Linked DNA regions of Rattus norvegicus. The protein of the gene in region 3 purifies or fractionates together with the protein of the main gene of each other region. This does not show direct contact. Links are inferred from orthologs where the notes say so. Each region holds a gene or a part of one and is shown on either strand. Other genes may lie near its edges.

Evidence for each region.
Region 1: the proteins of Eif3f (region 3) and Eif4e purify together in Homo sapiens (affinity purification with mass spectrometry; 3 studies listed by BioGRID and IntAct, with this or other methods). This does not show direct contact. The link is inferred for Rattus norvegicus from reciprocal best matches to the Homo sapiens genes EIF3F and EIF4E.
Region 2: the proteins of Eif3f (region 3) and Csnk2a2 purify together in Homo sapiens (affinity purification with mass spectrometry; 3 studies listed by BioGRID and IntAct, with this or other methods). This does not show direct contact. The link is inferred for Rattus norvegicus from reciprocal best matches to the Homo sapiens genes EIF3F and CSNK2A2.

Annotation. Positions count from the first base shown.
Region 1 is NC_086020.1:229,767,755-229,771,946, forward strand, and holds part of Eif4e (eukaryotic translation initiation factor 4E), read left to right. Parts: intron 1-1,044; coding exon 1,045-1,184; intron 1,185-3,056; coding exon 3,057-3,171; 3' UTR 3,172-4,192. UniProt on the Homo sapiens protein: Acts in the cytoplasm to initiate and regulate protein synthesis and is required in the nucleus for export of a subset of mRNAs from the nucleus to the cytoplasm which promotes processes such as RNA capping, processing and splicing.
Region 2 is NC_086037.1:9,560,474-9,564,765, forward strand, and holds the start of Csnk2a2 (casein kinase II subunit alpha'), read left to right. Parts: upstream 1-1,866; 5' UTR 1,867-2,242; coding exon 2,243-2,346; intron 2,347-2,353; exon of another isoform or gene 2,354-2,496; intron 2,497-2,993; coding exon 2,994-3,105; intron 3,106-4,292.
Region 3 is NC_086019.1:172,367,642-172,371,933, reverse strand, and holds the start of Eif3f (eukaryotic translation initiation factor 3 subunit F), read right to left. Parts: upstream 2,873-4,292; 5' UTR 2,849-2,872; coding exon 2,473-2,848; intron 1-2,472. UniProt on the Homo sapiens protein: Component of the eukaryotic translation initiation factor 3 (eIF-3) complex, which is required for several steps in the initiation of protein synthesis.

The DNA.
Region 1 (4,192 bases), on a different chromosome or scaffold from region 3:
ATTTCAGTTTTGTAGGCTGAGGAAAACTGTGATGGATTGTGGAGCTGAGTGTATTTAATGCCACTGAACTCTACCTCAAAACTGTTAGAAGATGGCAGTTATGGACACATAAATATGTTTGTCATTGTGATAATTATTTGTCAACAACCTAAGCTGCTGAGCAGATGGATATTCATGAGATCACTTTTATGTGTGCCCAATTTGCAGAAAGCGTTAAAACAATTGAATTTTATTTTATTTTTTAAGCCAAGGGAAAAATAATATAAACAAGTAAAATATAGACATTTTAAAAGTTGGTTCTTGGAGCTGGATGGCTCAATAGTTAAGAGCACTGACTGCTTTTAACCAAAGGAGATGATTGATGGTCAGTTCTCAGTACCCATATGGCAGCTCACAACTGTCTGTAATTTGAGTTCCAGGTAACCTGACACCCTCACACAGACACACATGCAGGCAGAATACCAGTATACACAACAAGAAACACATTAGGCTTTGTTGTTTTTTATTTATTTTTTTAAAAGTCATTTTGTAGGGCTGGAGAGATGGCTCAGTGGTTAAGAGCACCGACTGCTCTTCCAGAGGTCCTGAGTTCAATTCCCAGCAACCACATGGTGGCTCACAACCATCTGAAGACAGCGACAATGTACTCATATATACTAAATAAATGAAATATTTAAAAAAAAAAAAAAAGTCATTTTGTAAACTGCTCTGTGATTCTTTAGGTAAGGGTGCTTGTTTCCAAGTCTGACTACCTGAGTTTAATTCCCAGAACCCACTGCTCTCTTACCTCCATTGGTTTGCCACAACATGTGTGTCCTGTCTTCACAACAAAACGCAGTCAGATCTTACTCATTTGCTTTCTTGTGTCTAGATCAGGATAGCTTCAGACTTGCCAATGCTGCCTCTTCCTGACCAATGTCAGATGTCAGTTGTTGATTAGAATTAGTTTAGTTTTATAACTATCCCTAAGAGTCCTGCGCTTTCTTCTTAGTTGTTGATGATCTATATAGTCAATGTAATTTGCTATTTTTGTTTTATTTTTAGCTGCTGTGCCTTATTGGAGAATCTTTTGATGACTACAGTGATGACGTGTGTGGAGCTGTTGTCAATGTTAGAGCTAAAGGTGATAAGATAGCAATATGGACGACTGAATGTGAAAACAGAGATGCAGTCACACACATAGGGTGCGTTGTGCTCCCCTCCTTGCTTCCTTGACTATTTATTAACTAAATGTAGACGTCCTTTACATACATAGCTTTAGACAGTTGGATTTATAAACTTTTTATTTTCTTCGTAAATGTTTTCCTGGGGGCTGGGGATTTAGCTCAGTGGTAGAGCGCTTACCTAGGAAGCGCAAGGCCCTGGGTTCGGTCCCCAGCTCCGAAAAAAAAAAAAGAACCAAAAAAAAAAAAAATGTTTTCCTGGACACAAGTTTGGATCCTGTTAACGTTGAATGTGTTTGTCTTTTCTATTGCTGTAACATGGCTTTGCACTGGTGGTGCATGCACTGTCTAGGACAGCTTCCTCCCATACTTAGAGCCCATGTGTTTATAAGTTTCTCTGTTGAAAATTTTATTTTTTATAATTCATACACATAAGTTTTGCTAGAAGTCTCTTTGATTACATGAAAATTAGTAAAAAGCAAAATGAAGTTTGATTCTAAGTGGAATTTGCAATGAGTCATTGTTGACTTGTCATTTTTCATCTTTTAGTATTAACATTGACCTGTTAGCAGTGTTGTATTTCTTCAAAAAACAGAAATTGCTACAGAACTTTTTGTGTCAGTATTAGATGTTTTGAAGTTTTATAACTACCTAGAAGAGGCTTGTGCTTTCTAAGTTGTTGATGATCTGTATACATCTTAACTTCAGTTTTCCAAGGAAAAAGTTTTTCAATGCTTCCAGCTGACACAGTTTAACTTCTTGTTGCTGTGTGCGCGCACACGCACGCACGCGCACACACACACACACACACACACACACACACACACACACACACACACGTACATTTTTTAATAGTAAAGAGTATTTTTAAAAAAACTGTTACAATGTCATTTCATACTAATTGCCTTAAAAAAAAAACAAAAACAAAAAAACTTTGGAAGAAGTATGATTCTGCCAGGGGTAAAACTGTGGAAATGGCACTTTTGTTTTAGTTTTACTGTTTGTTTTTTGAATGTTCTGTATTATTTCTTTCTAAGATTAAAAATTAAGTTCTCTGCTCTTTTCTCAGGTTTTTGTCGGTCTTATTTTATACCCACTTACAATCTAGCCACACAGCTTTCATTTTTATAGCTTTTGTTGTTTCTTCTCAACCTTTAGATGTGTTTCATTCCCTGAAGATTAGACTGTTAACACCTCGACATCCCTCCACCCACCCACCCACTTGAAGCAGGGTCTCTGTGTACCTAGCCCTGGCTCTGTCAGAACTCACGCTGTAAACCAGAGATGTGCCTGCCTCTGCTTCCCAAGTGCTGTGATTAAAGGCGCGCACCACAATGCCCAGCCCCCTTTTGGCCTTTTAAGGAGAGATTTCTCTAATACTGCAGATGAGCTTTAGACCCTCTGAATTGTAGTTGATAGTCATATACCTAAGCCCTGTTTAGTACACATCACATTTTATTTTTAAAGTAGTCACAACTAATTTGAAAATTGGTTTGTGAAGTTGATACATAAGGCAAAATAGAATTCATATGTAAATAGAATTTTTATTTTACTTTTTGAGATAGGATCTTGCTATGTTAACCAAGCAATTGCTGTGAGCCCGTGAGCTGATTCTGATTTGCCCGTTTCTGTTTGGTATAATCGTACCTTTTTATTAGTAGTAATAATAAAGACAAACCTGGTGGGATTCCAGTTGTCTGTAACATGATTAAAGTATAGTTGTGAAAGTAAAGACTAATTTTTAATTTTGCTAGTTATACTGAAAGAAAATGAACACATTTTGATTTGCATTTTTAATGCATCGACTAATACACTACAGCTTTATAAAATGCATTTAAATCCTTTTTCTTTTTTAAAGAAATACTAATGTTTCTTGTCTCCTGTGTCTTGTAGGAGGGTATACAAGGAAAGGTTAGGACTTCCTCCGAAGATAGTGATTGGTTATCAGTCCCACGCAGACACAGCTACAAAGAGCGGCTCCACCACTAAAAATAGGTTTGTTGTTTAAGAAGACACCTTCTGAGTATCCTCACAGGAGACTGCGTCACGCAATCGAGATTGGGAGCTGAACCAAAGCCTCATCAAAGCAGAGTGGACTGCACTGAAGCTGACTCCATCCAAGTGTTGCTAAGATATAAGAGAAGTCTCATTCGCCTTTGTCTTGTACTTCTGTGTTCATTCTCCTCCCCCACCCCAATTTTTGCTAGTGTGTCCACCATCCCAATCAAAGAATTACAGTATACGTCACCCCAGAACCCACAGATGTGTTCCTGGCCCGCTCTGTAACAGCCGGGTAGAGTTACCACGACACACACTTGCCTTTCCACAGTATTCGAAAAAGAACGTGCATTTCTGTCACCTTAGCAGGAAAAGATCTGGTTTTGTTCCACTCCATGCAGGAGCGGATTTGCTGGTGTGAGAGTCTAAGTACAGCTTTCTAGCAACCTTCTGTTTTCTGTCACAGCATTGTCCTTGCTGTCCTCTTGCTGATGGCTGCTAGATGTTAATTTATTTGCTTCCCTCCTTGATAACATTAGTGATTCTGATTTCAGTTTTTCATTTGTTTTGCTTTTGTTTTTTTCCTCATGTAACATTGGTGAAGGATCCAGGACTATGACAGAAAGGTGGAATAAACATTACATTTGTGCATTCTTTGGTAATTTTTTTGTTTTTTGTAACTACAAAGCTTTGCTACAAATTTATGCATTTCATTCAAATCAGTGATCTATGTCTGTGTGATCCCTAAACATAATTGTGGACTATAAAAATGTAACACCATAATTACATTCCTAACTAGAATTAGTTGTCTGCTTTTGTATCTTTATGCTGTACTTTAACACTTTGTATTACTTAGGTTATTTTGCTTTGGTTACAATGGCTCAAGTAGAAAAGCGGTCCCATCCATATTAAGACAGTGTACAAAACTGTAAATAAAATGTGTACAGTGAATTGTCTTTTAGACAACTAGATTTGTCCTTTTATTTCTCCATCTCTAGAAGGAATCTGTACTCCATATTGCAAGGCAGTCT
Region 2 (4,292 bases), on a different chromosome or scaffold from region 3:
AAAACAAGATTTTACTACGTAGCTCAGGCTGGCTTTGAACCCACAATCTACTACTCAGATAGGATTGTAGTGTGCAGTCTCAGGGGTGGCTCTCAGTTCCCTTTCATCAAGAGCAGCACCTCAAGATTTCTTTTTGGTGTGGCACTGTTATTTTTTTTTTTTTTTAGCAGTGTGGACTGGATGTTTTGCTGAACCACCCCTCAGTTTGGCTGTGTCTGGTTGGATGCAGGTAGAACTTTTTTGGCAGGTGTAAGTGGTGTGTCCTTTCTCCATGAATCACACAGGTCAGTTCGTCCCTGCATCTGACCTTCAGGGTCCCCTTTGTAACCAGCATGATATCTGTGGGGCAGTAGCACCATGTTGATTGAAGGCCTCCAGCTACAGCAGGCACTGAGTGACCTGGTGGTGACCACCCAGCCCAAGCCATGCCTTCAAATTGTTTTCACAGGAAGGGGACAGATGGTAAACCAGGAGAGAACTCATGTCAAGTGGATGAGTCATTGAGAGAAGTATCAACTTCAGAGAAAGTGGCCTTTAAGGAGTTGAAAAAAAAAGCCAGTCATTTGTGGGGTGGCAGAGGTACCCCCTGGCCAAGCTCAGAGAGAAGAAGGAACTGAAGATGGACATGTGATGCTCTCAGGGAAAGAAAGGTGATAGCGTTTAATAGCAGCATGAACATGTAGTGTTTTAATATTGAGCACTCCCACTTTACATGGTTTAAGTCTCTGCATAGCTCTGTGACATAGGTGCTGGGTTGATGCTACAAAATTTGAAGCACAGAGACGTTGGGTCATTGGCTCAAATCAGCATCACTTGTAAGCTACGGAACTGGGACTTGAACCCGGATAGTTAGGTATATAAAGAGGGAACATGGTCTCATCTAGAAAACAGTGGTGGGGGTAATTAGAAGTCAGAACAACCTGGGTTGGGAGAGGAGATCCTTGTTGATAAAGAAATGGACAGGAGGGGGCTGGAGAGATGGCTCAGAGGTTAAGAGCACTGACAGCTCTTCCAGAGGTCCTGAGTTCAACTCCCAGCAACCACATGGTGGCTCACAACCATCTGTATTGGGATCCAATGCCCTCTTCTGGTGTGAAAAAAAAAATATGGACAGGAGAACAAGATAGTCAGGGACCCCAGGAAATCAAAGACTGTTCAAAGCTTGTATGTTCACCAACCCTTAGTCTCTCCTTCGAGGCCGAACTCCTCACTCCCCAGTTCTCCCTCCTCTCAAACAAATAAACAAAAATGCATATTTACAGTCTTAAATTATGTCCCACAAACGACTGGTTCAATACAAAGGGAAAAAAAACCAATAATTTTATGGGGAAACTACCCAGCGGACTCTAGTTTAACCAAGTAGCCTAAAAGATGACTCAGTGGGCTACCAGGGGAATTGGACGGGGAACTGAGAGGATAGGGTAGATCTAGTAGTAGACTGGTTCTGCATGGAAGTTCTCTGCCTCTTGGGGTTGAAGGCGGGGAAATCTGTGGATAGCAGGGTGGAGTCTAGAGGGGGAAAGAGGAGTGAGGAAGGGAGACAGTTTGAGGTGAGGATTCTTGGGTTTAAAGCAAATCAGCTCAGGGCCAGTATAGGAGGTCTTGGTGGTTGACACGAGGTGACTGGACTGAGGGGCGATGCTAAAAGCGGCGCTAGTCGAGGGCAAGGGCTCCTAAGGGGTGACCTGCGGGTGGGCAGGCAGACTACCACTCTGCTTGGCGGGTGGCGAGATCGCTGAGGGGGCGGGCGCCGGCCACAGTCCCCCGGCACTGTAGGGGGCGCTGTGGGCAGGGGCGGGCTGGGGCTGGGCGGTGGCCGCTCCTGGCGAGCTCGGCCCCTTTTCCGGGTTTCCTCCGCCTCCTCCTCCTCCCTCTTCGCCGCCGCCGCCGCCGCTGCCCCTCTCCCGGCCGGTGGCTGCCGCTGCCGCTGCCGCTGCCGCCACCACCGCCTCTGGGGGCCGCGAGCCGAGCGGAGGCCGCCGCGGAGCACGAACCCCGCCGTCCCGCCGGCTGCCGAAGGCCCCGGGCCGGCTTGGCCGGCGCCTCCCGCGCCCCCGGCCCGAGCGTCCGTCCGTCCGCCCGCCCCCGCGGGCCCGGCCTGGCGCGGACGCCCGCCGCCGCCGCGCTCCTCCTCCTGCTCGGGCGGTCCGCGGCCCGCCGCTTCCCGCGCCTGCCGCCCCGCGCTCCGCGCCGCGCCGCCGCCGCCCTCGGCGCCCCGCGGCGCCCCCCGGTCCCGCCCGCCATGCCCGGCCCGGCCGCGGGCAGTCGGGCCCGGGTCTACGCCGAGGTGAACAGCCTGAGGAGCCGCGAGTACTGGGACTACGAAGCCCACGTCCCGAGCTGGGGGTAAAGCCGCCGCCGGCCGCCCCCCGCGCGAACCGCACCTTGCCGGCCGCTCGGCCTCGGGGCTGGCAGGGAGGCCCGACCCCGGCCGCACGTGTCCCCGGCCTCTCCTGTCCGCCCGGCCTCGGTCCCCGGTCCCCGGCTCAGCAGCCGGTGGGGAGAAGCGTAGGGTCAGGGTGGGGGCGGCCCTTCCTCCTCACACTTTGGGCTTCCTATGGGATGGGAAGTCCATGTCTGTCCTCTTGAGCTGTTAAAATCTCTACCTTTTTACTTTCTGAAATGAGGCTGGGAGGGAGGAACATTTTGAACATGGCCCCCCTAGAGGGTGTAAAATGGGAGGCAGGTGCTGTGGAGCCCCGGGCAGGCGGGCACCCCAGTACTACCAGGGGGATACCTTGCTCAGTCCACTTAACAGGGCTCATAAGGCCTCATAGCTGCCTTTTCTCCCTGTGCTTAGAGTCAGTGAGGTTAAGAGCTCTGCAGAATGACGGGAGCCAAGCTTCTGTGTGGCTTTCATTTAGAGAATGAGTCGAGGTGTGATGTCAGGAATACTTTGATTAGCTGGACTTGGTGGATGGATGTATAGTGGACATACGCTTGCTTAATCCCAAATCCTGGCATTTATGTACAATATCTCTTGCCTTTCACAGTAATCAAGATGATTACCAACTGGTTCGAAAACTTGGTCGGGGCAAGTATAGTGAAGTATTTGAGGCCATTAACATCACCAACAATGAGAGGGTGGTTGTAAAAATTCTCAAGGTGAGTGTACTACAGCGGCATGTAACCTTTTACCCCCACAGGGCCAAAGGACCAGCTATTCCAGAATAAGCGGCTCCAGCTCTTGTGTATCTTCTGCAGCACTCCTACCCCATTTTTCCTGTGAGCTTTTGAGAAAATGTGCAGGCTGGTCTTAACGCTGACTTTGATAGGTCAGGAACACTTAAGGTGTAAATTCTGAACTTCTCAAACAAATATGTGAGAGGGGTTGTATCTGATATGAAACAAAGAGATGTTTGCAAGAAAGAAAAGCATTTGCATGTATCATGTCCGTGTAGGGCTCCTAAAATGTACTAGTTACTCTCTGCTCCCAGTTACTCCAGAAAGAAAGTTGTCCAAACAAAACATAACTGGGGTCTTCTCAGAGATAAGTTTAAAGCCAAAAATGCAGGGCAACTCCCCCCAGTTGATAGTTTTGTTTCATTTAGAAGTAAAGTTTCAGGTGGGCTGGATATAGCAAGCCATCACTAAAAGAGATTCGGGGCAACAGAAGAGTACATTTTAGCCCCTGAAATAGTAACCGGAACAAAACTGTCTCAGTGGCAAGACTAGCCCTCTCACTTTGATAATGATAGGGCTTTTGTTATCACTCAAATGAAGACATGATCTTAATGAGCATGAAGAGTCAGCCAAGTTTCTGTACAGGTGATTGGAGATTAATTAGTGCTTTGTAGGTTGTACAAGAAAGTGATCCTTAGGACCTGAGCGGTTCTTCATGGTTGTCAGGTCATTTAATGCATATGCATGTCCCCTTAGGATCTGAGCAGTTCTTCACGTTGTCAGATCACTTAACATGTATGTGTGTCACTCGTGAAAGAAAGACCGCTGGAGAGTGGTAGTACTTCACCTGATTTTCACAGTGCCCAGTGGAGGTTCCCTGAACAAAATGGATTGAAAAGCTCATGCCTCAGGGCAGTCCTCATTTAATTGTAGTGTAGATTTTAGCATCGTGTAAATCATCTTTCAAAAAAAAAATAGCTGCTGCTAACGTTCCTTACCATCCTAGCCTAGTGACAAGGAGCAGCACTGCTGCTGAGGCCGGTGATGCTGCCACTGCTGCCCAAGGCACTGGTACGAGGAGGAAGGAATGATGTGGAAGGCAGGGAGCTTGGCCCACTAAGTATGACTTGTACATAGGAGGTGTGTAGTTACGGATGGGTGTGTTTTAA
Region 3 (4,292 bases):
AACTATGATATTTAGAACACACTTCTAGTAATCTTTATATCCTATAATTTGAATAGCTAAGGTTTTTATTTAAAGGATAAAGGACACTAGGCTTAGTAGTGCTAGTGCTTACAAAGAACTTTAACCTATGGGCATAGTCATTGAAAATTATTTAAAAGTCCTACAGCAACACGCAAGATTTTAAATCCAGGTCTTGCTCCTTTTGGAATCACATGTGGATACTGTCCATTTAAGGACTTACTTCACGTTGAAAATGTGTTACACCTTACCATGACCTTGCACATCTTGCTATGTACAACTCCTTCATAACCTTCTAAGTAGTTACATCTACGTTTCCACAGGTACCTGCAAGCAGAATGCTTATCCTGTGTACAGTAGTTACTTACAGGGACTGTGTTTCCATCTCGAGTTTAAGGTTACAGCAGAATTCCTTTGACTAATTTTAAATTCTAAGTACCTAACAACTCTATGACGCATGAAACTCAACGATGATTTCATTTAACCACACAAAATCTTTTACAAATTAAGAACCAAGAAAGTCTAAGCTTCTACCAAGCACATACTGCTTCATTTGTTTTTCTACCAGTAACTGTTCTGTAACAGTGGGAGCAGTGAGTGGGTCTCAGCCTGATAGAGAACCATACACTACAGCCGTCCTACGATAAAACAGGGTCAACATAAACCTTGGGTAGACATTTATTTCTTTAATTAAACAGCTCCAGAGACTGGAAATTAGATAGCAAATTCAAAGTATTTGTTATGTGGCAAGTCCCCGATACAAAATTCTTTTGTTACAGAAGCTCACAGTAGGGCAGTTACAGAATGCCAATATACGGTTAAAGGTTACAACTACAGAGACACTGAGATTAGAGTTCTGGACTGAAATAAAATGAAGAGCAGGAAAGATATGTGGCAAAGAAAATGCAAGTGTGTTCTGATAAAAAGACAAGGTATTAACTCTAAGTTCCTGTAAACGCCTACTCTGTCAAAGACAAGGGAATGTATGGTATGGTCTCCTATGTGACAGAGGATGACCAACAGTTGCTGTACCTGAGGTATGCCAGCCATTAACTACTTGCTATAATATTTCATTCTCACAAAAACTGTCTGCTGGGGCTGGAGAGATGGCTCAGTGGTGGAAAGCACTGGCTGCTCTTCCAGAGGACCTGGGTTCAATTCCCAACACCCACATGGTGGCTCGTAACTGTCTGTAGCTCCAGTTCTAGGGGATCTGGCACCTTTAGGCATACATGCAAGCAAAACACCAATGAACATAAAATAAAAATTTTAAAAAATGTCTGCTGCCCTTGGAAAACAAAACAAAAACAAGCAAAAACCTGCCTGCTAAACAAGGCTCTGACGGTGATTTGTCAGGGGACACAAAGCTAGTAACTGCTGGAGTGTGACTACAACCCCTGTCCTCCCTACAGTTCTTGGATCATCTTCTACGGTGCATGGCCTGCTAGAAGACCACCAGTAAGAGATGATGGGTACAACTAGAGTGGACTGCAATGTCTAAAAGCTGTCACCGAGGCAGAGAGGAAACAAGGCTGATAGGCTCAGAAGTCCCCAGAGAATGATATTCAACAGTGTTTAGTGCTTTTCAAGTTTACAAGCTACTTAAACATAAACCACTTCCCCAAATCTGTAATACAGGCAAAGAAAAGATTACTCTTCATCTTGAAGGTTAGCAATGATTGTAAACATGGAATCATGATTGTAAACACAACAGTTTGTGTCCAAATGGAAATCAAAGGAGAGTGAGAGGGAGGTAGTGTGTGTGTGTGTGTGCTCGAGTGTGCATGAGCAGGAACTTGGAGCTGAGCATATATAGGTCCCCCCATCTTTATTAAATTGGGTATTTCTTATTTACATTTCAAATGTTATTCCCTTTCCTGGTTTCCAGGTCAATATCCCCCTAATGCATATATAGGATTTTCTCTAGGAACCAGTATGTGAGAAGACCTTGGGACAAGCGTTTGTCTGAAAAGTTCAGGAAAACAAGCTATATATCCAGAATATGTTTCGAAATAACCTGTTTTTTTTGGTGAACTGGAGGAAGCTTTTGACACATCCTCTTCCCTAACGTGGGTGGTGGGTACGATCTGTGTGTGTTGGGGTGGCGGTAGGTCAGTGGATAAGAGGGAAATGTGGGTTCTGTGTTTAAACAGGTCAAGGGCTTTGAATTTGCTGGCATTTGGGCCTTCGTTTTTGGCAGCATGCCCTCTCTTTATCTCACTCTTGGGAATATAAAATAATATGTAGCTCAATTATCGCAAACTATGCAATCGCTCATACGTATTCCTTGCACATGCCTGTGGCTTAACTGAAATTCGGCAGGATTCAAATCATTTGGGAAGGCAAGCCACAGCAAGAAGGTGCAACAAGATAAACAGGATAAGAATTCAAGGACGATGAACGAGAATAGGAGGAAGATGGACTGAAGAAAATATTAATTTCTCCAGAACTTACCCAGCAGGGTTCCGATAACTCGGGCAGCTCCCTCGTTGCGGCGTTCATAGCTGTCCACGATCGAGGCCAAAATGACTGGATGTAGCCTGACCACGCGGCCGCCAGGAAAAGGCCCCGGGAGGGCCGGCCCGGGCTGCGAGGGCGCCGGCGTCTGCGCAGGGGCTGGCGTGGAGGTTGAGGTCTGGCCCGGAGCTGCAGGCGTAGCTACAGCAGGATCAGACGAGACGGGAGCCGGTGCCGCAGCGGGAGTCGCAGCCTGTGCTGGAGCTGGCGTGGGTGGGGTCGGGGCTGAAGCCGGGGCTGAGGTGACGGCCGGCGCCGGGGCTGCGGCTGCAGTGGCGGGAGGGACACTAGCCGGTACGGCTGGGGATGCCATCTTGCCGAGAAAGAGAGAGGCTAGAACGGAAGGGCGTGAGTTGGTAGTATTAGAACCTTGATTGGCTAAATTTGTACCACGTGACCCATATCTTGCTCACTATTGGGCATTGGAATTTCCGGCTGGTTGTAAAGTTTAGTGATCTGTGTGCGCTTTAATTTCTGTCCGATGCGCACTCAGTATGTAGTAAGCTAAAGTAGTTCCTAGTAACTTTGGGACCTCCTGGGGGTGGGGAGGAAGCAACTAGCAATCTACACAATTGCCACCAGGTGGCGGCACAGAGTAGTGTAAAAGTCTCAATTCTTGTTTTAGGCTTAAATTGGATATTAAATATCAGTCTTAAAGGAGATTCATTGTTGCATCCATTTAACTTATTAGTCAATCAGTCAATTGAATTTTGGATTCATAATTTACTCCGCAGTCCACGCTGGCTGGAGCTCTCCTTATCTCTGCTTCCTGAATGCCCATGCATAGTGCTTTCTTTGTGATGGCTTCATAAGGTATCACTAGGAAGGCATATTCATTCAACAATTTAAATGTTTAGTATGCACCAGGCTCTTTTTTAGGTACTTGGGTATACAGGTGAACTAAACAACAAAGGGTTGCATTCTCTTGGGGGAAAGAAAAGGATAAAGTAAATCCTATGTTAGAAAATGCTATGATAGTAATCATCGTATTCCTTGCCGCCACCACCACCACCACCACCACCACCACCACCACCACCACCACCACCACCACCACCACCACCACCACCATCATCATTATTTAACCGTGCTATGAGAAAGAAATGATCAGTGGAGGTTATGAAGGCAGAAAAGTTGTGAAAGTTTAGGTTAGGTCACAGTGAAGGTATCAAGCTGGGGTGGAGACTTGAAGAAAGCAGGCAGCCAGCTATTATTTGCGGTTTTGGAGGGAGAGCCCTTCTGGTGGAGTGAACAGTTAGTGCAGAGGACTTAAAGTGAATGAGAGCAAGCCTAGTACATTTAAGGAAAGGATTTGGTGGCTAGATAGCATGATCAAAAGAAAGGATAGATCTGTAAGCAGGGGCAGGAACTGATTATTAAGATGCCTCTGCTGGAGCTGGAGAGATGGCTCAGTGGTTAAGAACACTGACTGCTCTTCCAAAGGTCCTGAGTTCAATTCCCAGCATCCACATGATGTCCCCTTCTGGTGTGTCTGAAGAGAGTGAGAATGTATTCATAGCCAGTGAATGAATGAATGAATAAGTAATAAACAAATCTTTAAAAAAAACCTTTATGCTATAAAAAATTTTGGCAGTGGAGGGATGGCTCTGAGAGAGAGAGAGAGAGAGAGAGAGAGAGAGAGAGAGAGAGAGAGAGAGCTATCCACGTACCCACGACTCTAGTTCCAGAGGAACCTATGCCCTCTTCTGACCTCTACAGGAATTGCACTCACGTGTACGTACATTCCTAATCATAGATAC